Arabidopsis thaliana: one gene and its partner. The protein of the gene in region 2 interacts with the protein of the main gene of each other region in a pairwise test. Each region holds a gene or a part of one and is shown on either strand. Other genes may lie near its edges. The genes, in order: RLP19 and GLR1.3.

Region 1 (8,943 bases), on a different chromosome or scaffold from region 2:
CCAGCCTTTTGCAGAATCTCTTTTTCTCATCCTTAGATAACCAAAATGCCGCATGAAGTAAGTATGTCCTCTTCCCTCTTAACTGAATGTGCAAGTTACTACGAATTCCCATATCTTCCAAGTTTTTGCGTGCATTCAAGCCATCCTTTGATTTAGCAGATTGCATCAACGTAGACACAATGACGTCAGACACATTCTTCTCCACATGCATCACATCAATGTTGTGACGGACAGGGAGGTCCTACAATACAAACAATAAGTAGTTAGGGCCAATCAAGATAAAATTCAAGATAAAATTCAAAAGGTGAAGTATTTACCTTCCAATAAGGTAATTCAAAAAGAATTGATCGCTTCTTCCATCTCCATTGATGTGTGTCTTCACCATATTCATCATCTTCACATAAATCTGATCTCTTTCTTTTGTTGTTTCTCTCCAAGGGTCTTCCAAAATCATTTTTGAAATCCTATAATGTTTCAAATAGTTCTTCTCCAGTTTGAATTCTACTAGTTTTCCCTTCTTCTACAGTGTTGTCAAACCAGCCTCTTCTACGCCTGTAAGGATGCCCTGGTCTGAGTCGTTTTCTATTGCTTAAATACACATGTTTTCTATTGAACTTCAACCACCTAAAAGGTGTATCTTTCCCACAGACATTACAAGTTTGTTTTCCTTTCACCTTACAACCAGCCAATGTCCCTAAAGTTGGATAGTCATTGATACTCCACAACAACATAGCTCTAAGAGTGAAATTTTCCTTAAAGAATGAGTCATAAACCTGAATACCATCACTCGACAAATCCTTTAAGTCATTTATCAATGGAGCTAGATAGACATCAATGTTATTGCTTGGTGCTTTAGGTCCATGTATCAAAAGAGTTAACATAATATTTTTTGCCTTCATACACATTGTTGGAGCCATGTTGTAGTTAACTAGCAAAACTGGCCAGGTACTATACTTAGTGTTCTGAATAGAGAACGGATTCATCTTATCAGTTGAAAGTCCCAGTCTAAGGTTTCTTGATTCAGCAGCAAACTGTGGCCATTTATCATTCACTTGAGCCCAAGCTAAAGAGTCTATTGGATGTCGCATTGTACCATCAACACTAGCATTGCTAAAATGCCACTGTAAGTCCTCAACCATTTTCTTGGATCTAAACATTCGCTTGAATCTATCTTTGATGGAAAAATACCAAAGTACCTTAGCTGGAATCCCCTTCTTCTCTTCACCAGTGTGTTTATCCCTTTTCCATCTGGAAGCACTGCATCCAAGACAAGTATCCCTCAGCTCATACTCCTTTTTGTATAAGATGCAATCATTCGGACATGCGTGAATGATATCATACCCAAAACCAAACATCTTCAAGAATTTTTTGATTTCATTTGTTGAAGTTGGAAGCACATTCTCTCCTGGTAAGATGTCGTGCACTAAACTCAAAAGTTGATCAAAGTAATTTTCTGACATCCCACTCTTTACTTTAATGCGGTAAAGCCCCATAATTGCAGACACCTTTGTGTACTTGGGACACCCATAATATAATGGAGTTTCAACATCCTTCAACTTCTCTCTAAAGTAAGATTCTTCTTTTGTAACTGGCTCCTTACTATCCTCTTCTCCATCAAAATAAGCTGTTCTTATCAGCTCATAAGCTCCAAATTCACTACTAGGCTCAGCTTCTAACTTATCAGCCCATATCTCCCCATGCTTACTCCAACATCCATTTCTCTTGTATTTATGATTCATTCCCTTAATAACTAGATGCTCCAAAACAGTATCAATTGGTTGATGACACAGATTCCAGCAATCCATACATGGACAAAACATTTCAGAAGGATCTCCCAAAAGTCTCGATGCGTAAACAAAAGTTGTTGCTCCTTTCTCGTACTCAATGCTATTCCTTGGCAGCTATACCCAAGTCTTATCCATTTTTAAAACACCAACAAGCTCCAACCCCATATATATGATAATATTTATATATATATTAGTTAACAGAGATACAAGATCAAAGACACAAAGAGAAATTTCAAAAACTCAAATTCACTACAAGTGAATGCAAGCTATCAAAGCTATATGAAACTCAATTCTATAATAAACTCAAAGCTACATGCAAACTAAGAACCACATAAATAAACTCAATTCGATACAAGTGAATCACATAAATAGTCAAGTTCAATTCGATACAAGTGAATAGTCACAAAAATAGTCAAGTTCTAATCGATACAAGTGAATACAAGCTATCAAAGCTGTTTGAAACTCAATTCGATACAAATGAATGCTCACTATCAAAGCTATATGAAACTCAATTCGATACATGAGAATAGTATAAGTTCAAAGCTATATGAAACTCAAAATTGGTATATGAACCACATAAATCGATCTCAAATAAACATACATGTCAAAAAGAAGCCATTGAAATCTTCGAGAAACGGATAGCGAAAGCCCCAATTCGAAACCCGTAAATCTCAGAAACCCGAAAATCAAACCCTAAATGTGATTAAAACCCCAAATCGAAACTCAAACAAGACAAATTTCACAATGCAAACCCTAAATCGATTACAAAAGAAACATAACCTTCTCAAATTAGAACCAGATCTGTGACTGAGAAGCTGAAGAGTACCAACCTGAAGAGTCCATAAAATTTGATGTTTTGGGTTTTTCACACAAATTAAAAAAAGTAACTTTTGTATTATTTATATTATTTTTTTTGTAAATTTAATATCATAAGTTTTACTTCTCTCCACTCTATTTGTTATTATTAAAAATAATAATAATATTAACTTACATCAATTTTTATGGAACAAAAAAAAAAAAACCAAAATATCAAATTTTATGGAACAGAAGGAGTAGTTAATAATAATGTCGATCGGACTATCCCTGTCTTGTTTTAATGCTACAAGGACCTTTGGAAAAATAAAATGTGGTAGAGATTTCAGATGGCTCTTTGATATGGTGGAAATTTCAAATGGCTCTTTAATGTGGTGGAGATTTAAGATAGCTCTTTAACTTAATGTGATGAAAAATATAATATTTGGATCATTATACCACCAAAGTCCACACACGAGTTCTCTATTTTTGTTTCATCCTCTTTTAGTCGCTGGTTTGGCCTCAATGAATAATGTAGTGGAGACTTTTACACAATGCGTACAACGTGAAGAAGACTTGGTAGAAATACTGGTTTAATTTATCTCTATTTTGTATATAAAGACATGAATATGAAACCATGTTATCATCACAATCTCCTTTTCTTGCTTTTTCATTATTGATATTCAAGAAACTAAGAAAAAGAAGAAAAACAACACTTCGAAAAAATGATGAAAGGCTATATTACTCTTTCTTTTCTTATCATTCTCATTTTTAATTTCCTTGACGAGTTTGCGGCTTCTACTAGACACTTGTGTGATCCTGATCAAAGTGATGCAATTCTCGAATTCAAGAACGAGTTTGAGACTTTGGAGGAATCTTGTTTTGACAGCAATATTCCTCTGAAGACGGAGTCATGGACGAATAACAGTGATTGTTGTTATTGGGATGGTATCAAATGTGATGCCAAGTTCGGGGATGTGATCGAGCTAGATCTTAGCTTTAGTTGCCTCCGTGGCCAGCTCAATTCCAATAGTAGTCTTTTTAGGCTTCCACAACTTCGTTTTCTAACCACTCTTGACCTTTCTAATAATGATTTTATTGGTCAAATCCCATCTTCACTTGAAACCCTCTCTAATCTCACCACTCTAGACCTTTCTAGAAATCATTTCAGTGGTAGAATTCCTTCTTCGATTGGAAACCTTTCTCATCTCATATTTGTTGACTTCTCTCATAACAATTTTAGTGGTCAAATCCCATCTTCACTTGGATATCTTTCGCATCTCACCTCTTTTAACCTTTCTTATAACAATTTTAGTGGTAGGGTTCCTTCTTCAATTGGAAATCTCTCTTATCTCACCACTTTGCGCCTCTCTCGTAATAGTTTTTTTGGTGAACTTCCATCTTCACTTGGAAGTCTTTTCCATCTCACCGATTTGATCCTCGATACTAACCATTTTGTTGGTAAAATTCCGTCTTCACTTGGAAATCTTTCGCATCTCACCTCTATCGACCTCCACAAAAATAATTTTGTTGGCGAAATACCATTTTCACTTGGAAATCTTTCTTGTCTCACCTCTTTTATCCTCTCTGATAACAACATTGTTGGTGAAATTCCATCTTCTTTTGGCAATTTGAACCAGTTGGACATCTTAAATGTTAAGTCCAATAAGCTTAGTGGCAGCTTCCCAATTGCACTACTAAATCTAAGAAAACTGTCAACATTATCTCTCTTTAACAATCGGTTAACCGGAACACTTCCTTCTAACATGAGTTCACTCTCCAACTTGAAGTTGTTTGACGCAACGGAAAACCATTTCACGGGACCTCTCCCTTCTTCCCTTTTCAACATTCCCTCTTTGAAAACTATTACTTTGGAAAATAACCAACTTAACGGTAGTCTTGGGTTTGGGAATATATCCTCATACTCGAATTTAACTGTGTTACGCCTTGGGAATAACAACTTTAGAGGGCCAATCCATAGATCTATATCCAAATTAGTCAACCTTAAGGAACTTGACCTTTCAAACTACAACACCCAAGGGTTAGTTGACTTTACCATCTTCTCGCATCTCAAGTCTATCGAATACCTTAACCTCTCCCATTTGAACACCACTACTACGATTGACATGTACGAGATCTTATCAAGTTTCAAGTTATTGGATACACTAGATCTCTCAGGCAGCCATGTTTCTACTACAAACAAGAGTTCACTTTCTAATTCTTCATTGGTATTGATAAGTCAGTTGTACTTGTCGGGATGCGGTATCACCGAGTTTCCAAAGTTCCTAAGATCCCAAGAGCTTATGCTGACTCTAGACATTTCCAACAACAAGATCAAAGGTCAAGTGCCTGGATGGTTATGGATGCTCCCTGTTTTGAACTACGTGAATCTTTCCAACAACACTTTCATCGGTTTCGAAAGATCAACGAAACTTGGACTCACCTCTATCCAAGAACCACCAGCTATGAGGCAATTGTTTTGCTCCAACAACAATTTCACGGGAAACATTCCATCTTTCATATGTGAGTTGCCTTATCTCAGCACTCTCGATTTTTCTAACAACAAATTCAATGGTTCAATTCCTACTTGTATGGGAAATATTCAGTCTCCATATCTTCAAGCTCTAAATCTTCGACATAATCGTCTTAGTGGACTTCTTCCAGAGAATATATTTGAGAGTCTAATTTCTCTTGACGTCGGCCATAACCAACTAGTGGGAAAGCTTCCAAGATCGTTAAGTCATATCTCTTCCCTTGGACTTCTGAATGTGGAGAGCAACAAAATCAGTGATACGTTTCCTTTATGGTTGAGTTCTCTACAAGAGCTACAAGTTCTTGTCCTTCGCTCCAATGCATTTTATGGACCAATAGAGAAAACACAGTTTTCTAAGCTGCGAATCATTGACATATCCGGTAATCAATTCAATGGTACGTTGCCAGCAAATTTCTTTGTCAACTGGACTGCAATGTTTTCACTGGACGAAAATGAAGATCAATCTAACGGAGAGACCATGAGCAACATGTACATGAGTACAGATTATTTCTACTTTGATTCAATGGTTTTGATGAATAAAGGAGTAGAGATGGAGCTGGAACGTGTCCTAAAAGTCTTCACAGTGATTGACTTTTCGGGAAACAAATTTGAAGGAGAGATTCCAAAGTCCATTGGTTTATTGAAAGAGCTTCATGTTCTTAACTTATCAAACAATGCTTTAAGTGGCCACATCGCATCATCTATGGGGAACCTCATGGCACTTGAGTCACTGGACGTTTCCCAAAACAAGCTTTCAGGAGAAATTCCACAAGAGTTAGGGAAACTCACGTACCTTGCATACATGAACTTCTCTCATAACCAGCTGGTAGGTCTATTACCAGGAGGTACTCAATTTCAAACACAGAAGTGCTCTTCTTTCGAGGACAATCATGGCCTTTATGGCCCTTCGCTTGAGAAAATTTGTGATATCCATGGGAAAACACCGCAACAATCTGACATGGCGCCAGAGCCAGAAGAAGATGAAGAAGAGGTGATAAGTTGGATAGCAGCTGTTATAGGATTCATACTTGGTACTGCCTTGGGATTGACATTTGGATGCATATTGTTTTCCTACAAACCAGATTGGTTCAAGAATCCTTTCGTCCGAGACAAACGCAGAAACATAGGCACCATAACTCATTAGAGAGGTAATGATCTTGATTTTGAAAGAATAAAGACTATATATTGTACTAAAATTTTCTGGATATATGAACTAACGTATAATCTTTCTTTGTTATTCTTTGACCCAAGTTGGAGAATTTTACACGAAGTAAACAAAGGAACAAAACCGGAAGAAACTTGGGAGGAAAGCAATCTAATTTTAAATAATCATTTTTTCTGTCTCCTCCTCCCCCCCCATTGTTATGTCTATGTCCATTTTTAAATACAATGTAAAAATGAATAGTATCATAAAAAAATTGTTGAATACAATATAATTTGTACTTGTTTTTTTTTTTTTTTCGCATGTCTACTTACAAAACCAAAACTGAATTTAAAACTTCAATTAACTAATTTTTATAAATATAGTTGTGAAATAAACGGGCATACTCCGGATTCTCTGCTAGTAGTTCTAAAAGAAAACTAAAAAGCTAGTGTAATCCTCCTTTGAAGCCTAACTATAGAAGAAAAAAAAAGTAAATTAAAGCTAAGGAAATAGGTCTAGTTATACAAATATATATATATATATATATATATATATGTATATATATTTTAAAAGGTTGAAGATCCCTAAGGAAGAAAAGAATGAAAATAGAAAATTGAAGAGAAATTAATCCAAAAGATAATTTGGTTAATAAGAGCCATTTGAGAGTGCTAAGTTGAAATTTTGGTAATTCTTAGGATGCTTCATTATTGGAAGGGACAATAGGCAAACTTGATCTAGGAAGGAGAGAACATGAAAATGTGACCATTGTATGCATAAATTGTACCGCGGTCTTCAGCTATTTTGCATAATGTCAAGAATACTTTTTCTTAAGATCCAAGAGCCATCTTTCTCACCTCTAGACCACTCTCTATCTTTGACCCAATAAATTTGTGGTTTATACATCCAGTATGATTTCACAAGAATACCTAGCTAATTGAATGACAAGGAGTTTGTATACATGGATCTCTAAGTTGAGTGGAAAATGAAATTGTGGTAAATGTGAATAAATTGGTTCTTGCATTATATTACTATTTTGATTTCTTTTTTGGTTATAAGATCCTCTTTCAAACCTTTTCTCTTGGGTGTTTTGTTTGTTTGAGGACAAGCAAAAGACAAGTTCTTGGGAATTGATATGATGATATTTTGGTGTTCTTAAACTCCTTTTCTTGATAGTTTTTGGGTCTTAATTCATTATGATCACTTGTAAAAATGCATTTAACATGTAGTTTAAGGTAATTTTGCATTCAGAGTCCTAGAATTCACTTGGTGTTTATTTAGGTACAAAAGAAGGCAAATGGATCTAAAGAGACAAAAGGACGTTTTGGATCACAAAATATTTGGCTTGAATCATATTGGGTTTAAAGAATTGCTAGAAGATTTATGAGAAGTGCCGAGCAAAGCTCAACCATTTGAAAAACCACTTGGATTATATTTTGTTCTTAGGGTTAGTAATTAAGGAATATATCATCAGGGTTGGATTTGTGGCTAGGATTTGATTGGAAATTACCAAATTATGCTTTTGCACTAAAACATTTTATGTCGTCATCTGTTCCAAACTATTGACCATATTATGGATAGGTGATGTCATATTCATCTCAAGCACCTCCTTAATTTTGTACTTCAACAGGTATTCAGGTAATAATGTTTTGAATGTTAAAGCATCTGAGTTCCCCGACTTTTCTACACAACTAATTCTTGGTGGCATGCGTATTATTGGTTGTGTGTTTGTTTAATGGGTGTGGTTATTAAACTACTTTTTATTCCAATCCTTATAAAAAAGAACGATACCTCGTTTTTAAAATCTATAACCCTACCCATTCTTTCAGAAACAAGGTATTGTTGTTCACCTCCTTTTATTTCAGCCAATCAAAATATGTTATCTAATAAATAAATAAAGAAATTTAAACTCTAACCATTCTTTTTTAAACTCAAGTCGATATATATTCTTGTTTAATTATAAAATCTAAACCCTAATTCTCCTTTGTAAACCCAAACTAACATTTAACCTCGTTTAATTGTAAAATCTAACTAACCGTTTTTTTAAACACAAAACGATTTAACCTCGTTTAATTATAAAATCTAAACTTGTTTATAAACTCAAACCGATATTTAACCTCGTTTAATTACAAAATCTAAACTCTAATTCTTTTTTGTAAATTCAAGCTTACATTTAACTTTGTTTATTGTAAACTCTAAACCCTAACCGTCCTTCTAAACCCTAACCGTTCTTCTAAACCTAAATCAATATTTAACCTCGTTTTATTGTTAAATTTAAATTTGTTTATAAACCCAAACCGACATTTAGTCCTGTTTAATTGTAAAATCTAAATTCGTTTATAAATTCAAACCGATATTTAACTCCTTTCTTATAAATAATTTTGTTTTGGTGGCATATTAGGTTTTATAAATAAATGTTTTTTTAATTAGCAGGCAGATTCTAATCAAACTCAAACCCAAGTATTTTTCTAACAAAATCTACCCAGTCCCCTAATTATAAAATTTGAAAAGTACCCACTCACTAAAAAATCCCCAAACGTTATTCCATAATTTAATAATGTTACAATCACGATAATTTATCTCCAGAATTTAGTAAATCACACTAAAATAAATCCCCAAATAAATATCTCTATAATTTAATATTCCATCTGTTTCTAATTATATGTAGTTTAAAGGGTTTTTTTCCGATA
Region 2 (8,377 bases):
TTCTGTTCTTCTTCAACAACAATTTCAGTGAGTTATGACACATTTAGTCTTAGATACGTGCCTCTTGATTTTGGTTATAATCTTCAGATTGGGAAATTACGGGATATACGAATTGAGTAATTTTTTTGGATATATAAGTTATTCGTTCGAAAGGTCAAAATCAAATGTTCTTCAAGGCATGTTCTCACATAATCTATTCAAAGATTCATTAGATGTTTCAAGTTTAATCCTAAGCCGTTCATTAAACCTAAATCCGAAAACAATTACCGTCCTTGGTGACTGTATCACATAAATCGTACACCAGATAAGATTTATTCTTCTGCAAAGATATAAACATATCAATTCAAATAACAAACTAACTCCTAAAAAACGATTTATGTAAAACTATTTGGTATCGAAAGAATCAAAGTATAGTAAACCAATCATGTGCCCATATAGGGATCACAGAGAATAATCCCGAGGACATGATTAAAATTGGAGTACAGATCAATTTAGCAAACGAAGAAATTGCACCAAAACATGGAATTAATGGTCTTGGGACAGAGTGCGTTTGCCCAAAACAACAACAACAAAATCTAATTTCAAAAGATTGTGCCAGTAGATTAAGGGCCTGGATAATCATGATTATAATCAGATCCAGGCGAGTGATACTGCCGATTTCTATTTCGCAAGTTATGATTTTCATAAAATTGATTGGATCGTGAATATCTTGACCCAATCAAAGAAGCTGAGACTTGCTTTAAAAAAAAAAAAACTACAGACCCAAAAAAACAACAAAGGAGTACTTTACGATTCGTTTAAGCTGCAAAATTTTGAAAGAGTAGCTAATTTAGAGACATGAGAGAAAGGCGTTGTAGAAGAAGAGAAAGAAGAGAGATTATATATAAGATTGGGAGAGAATAGAGATTAGGGTTTCTCTCTTCTCCTTTCTTCTCTTTGAAAAAGCTTATGGGCTCATTAATTTTATTAGCCCAGCCCAAACTGAAAGCCCACAACTGACCGGCATTTCGGATTTCTTACTAGGTTTGATTTTGATTTTGGAACTAATGTCAATAAACCGGATATTAGATTGATTCGGTTGGAAGGGGAAAAGATCAATTTCTCTCTCTTCTCTCTCTTCAATTATTCAGAGAGAGGAACACGATCTTTGTTTCTCCATCCGGTTTGTTTACTAGTTTTGTCTCTGGTATGGTTCAGCTTTGTCTCCGGCGAGGTCCGGCTTTGTTTCGGCTATCTGTTGCCGCTTTTTGTTTTTTCTGTTGAATAAATTATGCGATCTATGTTAGTGTTGTGGTTTTAGGTGATTCGTCTTTGCCTAAACACAATTCTCTCCAACATAAGATTGATGAATATGATGCTTGAGTTCGTGAACCGTTGACGTTTAATTGGGAAGATTTTGAAGTTGAATTTCCATGAAGTTGAAGATTTGTTTTTAGAGCTTTGGAATTGACAATTGCTATCACCGGATTCAACATGCATATCGCGGCGTTCTGGGTTTCAATGGAGTCGACAATCTTCTTCGGCGGCGACCAGTGATTCTCCGATCTTCTTCTTCTCACGTGTCTTCAGCACCTAACCTTTTCATGACACGTGTTTTAGGTTCTGTTTCAATGATTCTTCTTTCTTCCTGATGCGGTTTCCTACTTGGGCTTCATAGTTGGGCTTGAAAAGTCTTACACTTATGTTTAGTTGAATTTGGCTCTGTTGTTTGTCTCAAACTTTGGCTTATGTTGATATAACAAAATGGACACTCTTGTGACAAAAAAAAAAAAATTGATTCGGTTGGTTCCACCTTAATTGTTTTTTTTTTTTTTTTTGAGAACCATACCATTTGAAAGACACTAATCATATATGAACCAACTATATAAAGGTGGTTTTGAATTTGATCATACAATTTACAAGCAAGGATTTGGTCTAAACAGCATTTATACTTTGATATGTAAGTCATTTACAAGTAAAGATTGTTTGTGGACCTTTTGATCTAACCCTAATCAGTTCCTATTGTCTATTTTGTTGAGCCATTTGAACCGCAGTTTCGCCAATGGGGTCATCAAGGGGACTAGTATGTATAGATCTTACAAAGTGGATCCTGAAATGTCTAAGTCGTTGTGAGAGGTCTAGATTGTCCACAAGAATTTCCCATTTGTCGCGGAGACAGAGAATGACAAGTACCGCAAGAGCGAAAGCGAATGAAACACCGATGATTATAAACAAACCGCGGAATCTGTAAAGAGTAATAGGATTTGATGTATCATCGGTTGTGTATGGAAGTTGATTATCAAACCATCTTTTCTCCATCTCATTTAGCTTCTCGCTCGTCCTTAGCTTTGAGATTTCTCGGGACACATTAGGCACCAACTCGAAGCCCTTTTGAAACATCTAAAACATAGTATAACAATAACAAACCAAACATGTTCTTATGTCAGCAAGTCAAAAGTAAAGAAAGAGTAAAGAAGCTTATGACGATGAAGAAGAAGGATACATACAAAGCCGAAACCGTTGGTGGTAGATTGTGTCTTGACCATGAAAAAATGTGTTGGATTCTCGCCAAGGACAACTTTGAGGTATGGCAACTCATCAACAACAAATGAAACAGTCTTGTTCAACAAGGCTTGAGCATAATCTGCAGCACTATTAAGACCCAATGATCTCATTGCTCGGAGGCTGGAACTAGTGAGAGCCACATTTGCAATGAGGGAGCCGGAAAGGTGACCCACGTAGTCTTCGTTGGAGTTAAATCGTATCTGTTGTACCGTCATCATTGATGTCAATGTTGCAGTGTAACTTGCAGTCAGTATGAGCACTGCAAATACCCAAACTGTAACAACAAATCTTGATAAGTTGTGTTTTAGCTTTTCCCCTGTCACACATAGTATAAGCAGCAAAAGGTAAGCATGATCACTACAATCTTTTCTGAACAAGATTGGCATATATAAATGTGAAAAGGTGAGTACTTACTATGAGCATAGACAAGGGTAGAGAAGCCAAACCAAAGCACAACTCCAATCTGTTGTGGCCAAGATCCTTGGAACTCTTTGTTCTCAGCTCTTTCTATCAACCAAACTATAACTCCGGTCAAGACAAAAAAAAATGCACTTGTTATCCAAAGATCTGGTGTTAAAGGTTGGAAGAACACCCACATACTTCTCTCTTTTACTGCTACAATTCCAAGACCCATTTCAGTGAATGGCAACGTAAAGTCAACATACGTCGATCTATTCGAAGTGATTGTAATATCTCCCACGGCCGCATCATATTTGTCTTTCTGTGGGATGCAACACAAAACAATTAAAAAAAAAAAAATACTTGTTATAATATAAAACACTTAAGTAAGACATGGTTAGTACCTGGCTATGAAGTGCATATGCAAGATTGTCGTAGTTACTTCCATTGAGCCAAGGTATATACTCAACTTCATAGTTGAAAGGACTAATCGAAGCGCGAAAGACTTCTATACAGAACCCTTCAACAATTAATTCATTTGTTACTGGATCAGTCTCCACTTTCATCAGTCTTGGGAATCTATTGCTAGATGTAACCAAGACCCTCAGCTTTTTTCTATCGCTATCTATTAGACTAGTCCCTTTCGGACTTTGAGCAGACCCACCTGGCCAGATTATGGTCTCAAGCTTGTTATGAGTAGAAGATAAATGTCTTCTATTACTAAAACTACCGTTAGAGTTCAAGAATCCTACTCTTCTCTCACTTGATCCTATCATATTGATAATCTCAAACTTGTTTGATAACAACTTCTTATCATTTAGTTGGAAATCACCACTCAAACCGTTAAACCTAGTCTTTGTGATTTCCTCAAGGAGAGTTGATGTCACATTTGGCATCCTTATAACTTCTGCTGCTCTCGCCAGAGCAAAAGCGATATCGTGAGCCCATATGCCAGAGATACTCAACCGAGTTAGCTCCGCTTCTTCAACAGGCAATGATTTTCTCCATCTCAAAGTGAAATTTTGAAGCTCTATAGACATTGGAATGTAAGACTTGAAACCAACCACACCTTCCATTGCCTGCTTTGTGAAATCATCAATGTTCTCATGGAAGCTGTTCATAGTTTTAGCAGTCAGGATCCAAACAAACCCATCACCCATCAACCCTAATCTCCGAGCACATGGGAATAAATGAGTTGCAATAACTTCAGACAAGTGAACAACAAAGACAGTAGTCCCCAAGTCCTTCAGCTGCTGTAACCGACCCATCACAAAATCCTCACTAGAAGAGACAGTAAAACCAACCTTGGACTGTACACGAACACCGTTCTCATGAAAATGCTCCACCAAAAGTTGCATACTCTCTCTCCAGTCATCATGATCTTCATAAACAAGAGCAACACTGTTCCAATCAAACACATTAATAAAAGATGTAATCCCCTTTGCCTCAGAGGTAGAATCATGTGTGGCTTGGATCAAGTGAGTGTATTTGCTTAATGACAATGAAAACGGAGAGTCAAGTGAAATCATAGGAACCCTAGCTTTCTCTCCAAGTTCCCCTAAAAGCTTCGCTTCTAACAACGAGTTCCCGCCAATAATCGCTTCTACTCCTTCAGTTTTCAGAAGATCTACAGCTGTTTCATTCACAAGAGATAGAAAACCAAGATTGTGAGTGTGAATGGAGACAGAGAAGAAGAGAGTTTTTGTAGAGAAGAAGTGTTTTTACCAGAAGCAAGAGCAAGAAGAGGCTCTCCATGAGAGTTTCTGAGTGAAACAGAGACTCTTGTTTTGTAATCATTATGAATAGCGTAGAAATAGGAAAGAGCCATGGAAACAGAGTTTTTCACTATCTTCCCTTTCAAGGAACCCAAATCCAAAACCAACCCGACCCGGATCTGAACCCGTTTACCTCCATCAACGTCGTCGTTTTTAGTAGAAGCAAAAGACCTGGAGATGAAGAGAAGCAAAACAAGAAGAAACGATAGCAAAGTTTGGGTTTGAATACAAAATCTCTCCATTAAAAAAACTTTCCAACTAGAGAGAAAGGAGAAACCCCACGTTTGCTGCTTTTAGTCATTATTTTATTTTGTTGTTATATAAACCCATGCCGTGTTTTGTTTTTCATCTGTCTAATTATTCCAATTTTAAAAATTAACATACGTACTATATTTGAAGAAAAATTCAAAGTTTAAGATGATGACATCATGATTTTAAGAAAAATTACATTAGTCAACGTAAAATTCGGTATGGGCTATCGAGTTTGGCTACTCTTTTGTCTCTCAAATCATTTCATTATTTAAGAGAATCTGACTAAATCTATCAAAATGTTTGGTGAAGAAAGTAAAAAGGTAAAAATACGGAATAAATTCGAAAAGGATTCTATAGGATAAAATTTTGTCAACTAACCAATTTTAGCAAAAGAAAAAAATCATTTGTCTTAAAAAAAAAAAAACATTTGTCAACGGTCGTAGGAACAAATGTGTTTTAATCTGAAATTTTTACACGTAGAACTCCATATTTGTTTTTTTTTTGGTTAAAAACTCCATATTTGTTGGGGTTGTATTAACTTGTGTTGACAAGAACAAATCAACAAAAGTACTTAGTGTAAGGGATTTGACAATTTAGACAGTCAAAGATATAAATCTAGAAGCAGAGAAAAATGGTGAAAGTCGTCTCATCTCAAATAAATTGATGGAAGAAATTAAACACAAATACCAACAAACGAAATGCACGAGTCTTTTACATACTGATTAAAGTTTGGTACATTTTTTAAGGTTTATAAAATGAAGAATTAAAGTATTTTTTTCTTTGCAAAAGTATCATATTCTCCAAAAAATACTCAAACTAAATGTGTTAAATTTTAACTCAATATATTACCAATACCTTTTTGCTATTTACAAAAGTGGTTGCGAATATGATCACACTATAATTTACAAAATTGGTATAACAATCATTTATACTTTCAGACGTAAGCCGGCTTGGATCAGGAGCTAGTGGATCACTGGAGGATCTTCTTTGCTGCTCCAAGGTCAGAGTCAGAGACGTACCACATCACAACAATTGTTTTCTCTCTATGTTACTCATTTCCTATCGTCTGTTACGTTGAGCCATTTGAACCGCATTCTCGCCAATGGGGTTATCGAGGCCGAGGGGACTAGGATGGATAGTTCTTGTGAAGAGGATCCTGAAATGTCTAAGTCGTTGTGAGAAGTATATATTGACCGAATTCACAAGGATTTCCCATCTTTCTCGGAGCCAAAGAATGAGAAGTACTGCAAGAGCGAAAGCGAATGAAACTCCGGTGATCATAAACAAACCACGGAATCTATATAGGGTTATAGGATTTGATGTATCATCGGTTGTGTATGGAAGCTGTTTATCAAACCATCTTCTCTCCATCTCGTTTAGCCTCTCGCTTGTCCTCAGCTTCGCAATCTCCCGGGACACATTAGGCGCCAACTCGGACCCCTTCTGGAACATCTGGAACATAGTATAACAAACCAAACATTTCTTTTTCAACAAGTAAAATCAAGAGTAAAGCAACTGATGATGCAGAAGAAGGATACATACGAAGCCAAAACCATTGGTGGTAGATTGTGTCTTGACCATGAGAAAATGTCCAGGATTCTCGCCAAGGAGGATTTTCAGGTATGGCAACTCACTAACAATATATGAGACACTTTTATTCATCAAAGCTTGAGCATAATCTTCTGAAGTATTGAGACCCAATAATCTCATTGCTCTGAGGCTGGAATTGGTGAGGGCCGCATTTGCGATGAGGGATCCCGAGAGGTGACCCACATAATCTTCATTGGCGTTGAATCGTATTTGTTGCACCGTCATCATTGATGTCAATGTTGCAGTGTAACTTGTAACCAATATGAGCACCGCAAATACCCAAACTGTAACTACAAATCTTGATAAGTTGTGTTGTAGCTTCTCCCCTGTCACACAGAGTAAGCAACAAAAGGTAAGCATCACTACAATCTCTTCTCTTATGGCCAAATTGGTATATAAGAATGTGAAAAGGTACTTACGATGAGCATAAACAAGGGTAGAGAAGCCAAACCAAATCACAACTCCAATCTGTTGAGGCCAAGATCCTTGGAACTCTTTGTTCTCAGCTCTTTCTATCAACCAAACTATAATACCCGTCAAGACAAAGAAAGCTGCACTTGTTATCCAAAGGTTTGGTGTTAGAGGTTGGAAGAACACCCACATACTTCTCTCCTTTGCTGCTACAATTCCAAGACCCATTTCAGTGTATGGCAACGTAAAATCAACATACATCGATCTATCGGAAGTAATTGTAATATCTCCCACAGCAGCATCATATTTGTCTTTCTAAGGGATGCAACAAAAATTATCAATGGAATTAAGTCAGTTCCCACACACAGTCTACGCAAATTTTAAAAGTACTTGCAATTGTAAAATCGAGCCATGCTTAGTACCTGGCTATGAAGTGCATATGCAAGCTTGGTGTAGTTAGTTCCATTGAGCCAACGTATGTACTCCACTTCATAGTTGAAAGGTGCAATGGATGCCTGAAAGACTTCTATACAGAACCCTTCGACAATTGTTATCTCATGTGTTATTGGATCAGTCTCCACTTTCATCAGTCTTGGGAATCTATTGCTAGATGTAACAAGAACCCTAAGCTTTTTTCTACCGCTCTCTCTTAGACTTCTCCCTTTCGGACTTTGAGCAGACCCACCGGGCCAAATTATGGTCTCCAGATTGTCATGAGTAGAAGATAATTGTCTTCTATTGCTGAAACTACCATTAGAATTCCAGAATCCTACCCTTCTCTCACCTGATCCTATCATATTCACAATCTCAAACTTGTCTGATAACAACTTCATATCATCCAACTGAAAGTTACCACTCAGACCCTTAAACCTGCTTTCTTTTATGGCCTCAAGGAGAGTTGATGTCACAGTTGGCATCCTTGTCACTTCAGCTGCACTCGCCAGACTCCAAGCGACATCATGAGCCCATACGCCAGAGATACTCAACCGAGTAATCTCACTCCCAGTAACTTCTTCAACAGGGAGTGTTTTTCTCCATCTCAAAGTGAAGTTGTGAAGCTCTTTTGACATTGGTATATAAGACTTGAAACCAACCACACCTTCCATTGCCTCCTTTGTTAAATCGTCAATGAACTGATCATGAAAACTGCTCATGCTTCTGGAAGTAAGAATCCAAGCAAACCCTTCACCCATCATCCCTAATTTCTCAGCACATGGGAAGAGACGAGTTGCAATAACTTCAGACAAGTGAACAACAAAGACAGTTGTTCCCAAGTCCTTAAGCTCCCGTAATCGATCCATCAAAGAATCCTCACTCGAAGTGACACTAAAAGCAACCTTGGACTGTACATGAACGTTGTTCTCATGGAAATGGTCCACCATAAAATGCATACTCTCTCTCCAGTC

The links.
Region 1: the proteins of GLR1.3 (region 2) and RLP19 interact in a protein complementation assay, tested with the Arabidopsis thaliana proteins (one large-scale study listed by BioGRID).

What each region holds. Positions count from the first base shown.
Region 1 is NC_003071.7:6,530,460-6,539,402, forward strand, and holds RLP19 (receptor like protein 19), read left to right. Parts: upstream 1-2,801; 5' UTR 2,802-3,304; coding exon 3,305-6,256; 3' UTR 6,257-6,260; exon of another isoform or gene 6,261-6,363; 3' UTR 6,364-6,543; downstream 6,544-8,943.
Region 2 is NC_003076.8:19,616,899-19,625,275, reverse strand, and holds GLR1.3 (glutamate receptor 1.3), read right to left. Parts: upstream 5,010-8,377; 5' UTR 4,961-5,009; coding exon 4,669-4,960; intron 4,577-4,668; coding exon 3,348-4,576; intron 3,266-3,347; coding exon 2,959-3,265; intron 2,861-2,958; coding exon 2,487-2,860; coding exon of another isoform or gene 2,418-2,486; exon of another isoform or gene 2,380-2,417; coding exon 1,999-2,379; 3' UTR 1,851-1,998; downstream 1-1,850. Other genes in the region: ATGLR1.2 (Glutamate receptor family protein), read right to left, coding at 6,030-6,422, 6,513-6,886, 6,980-7,286, 7,394-8,377.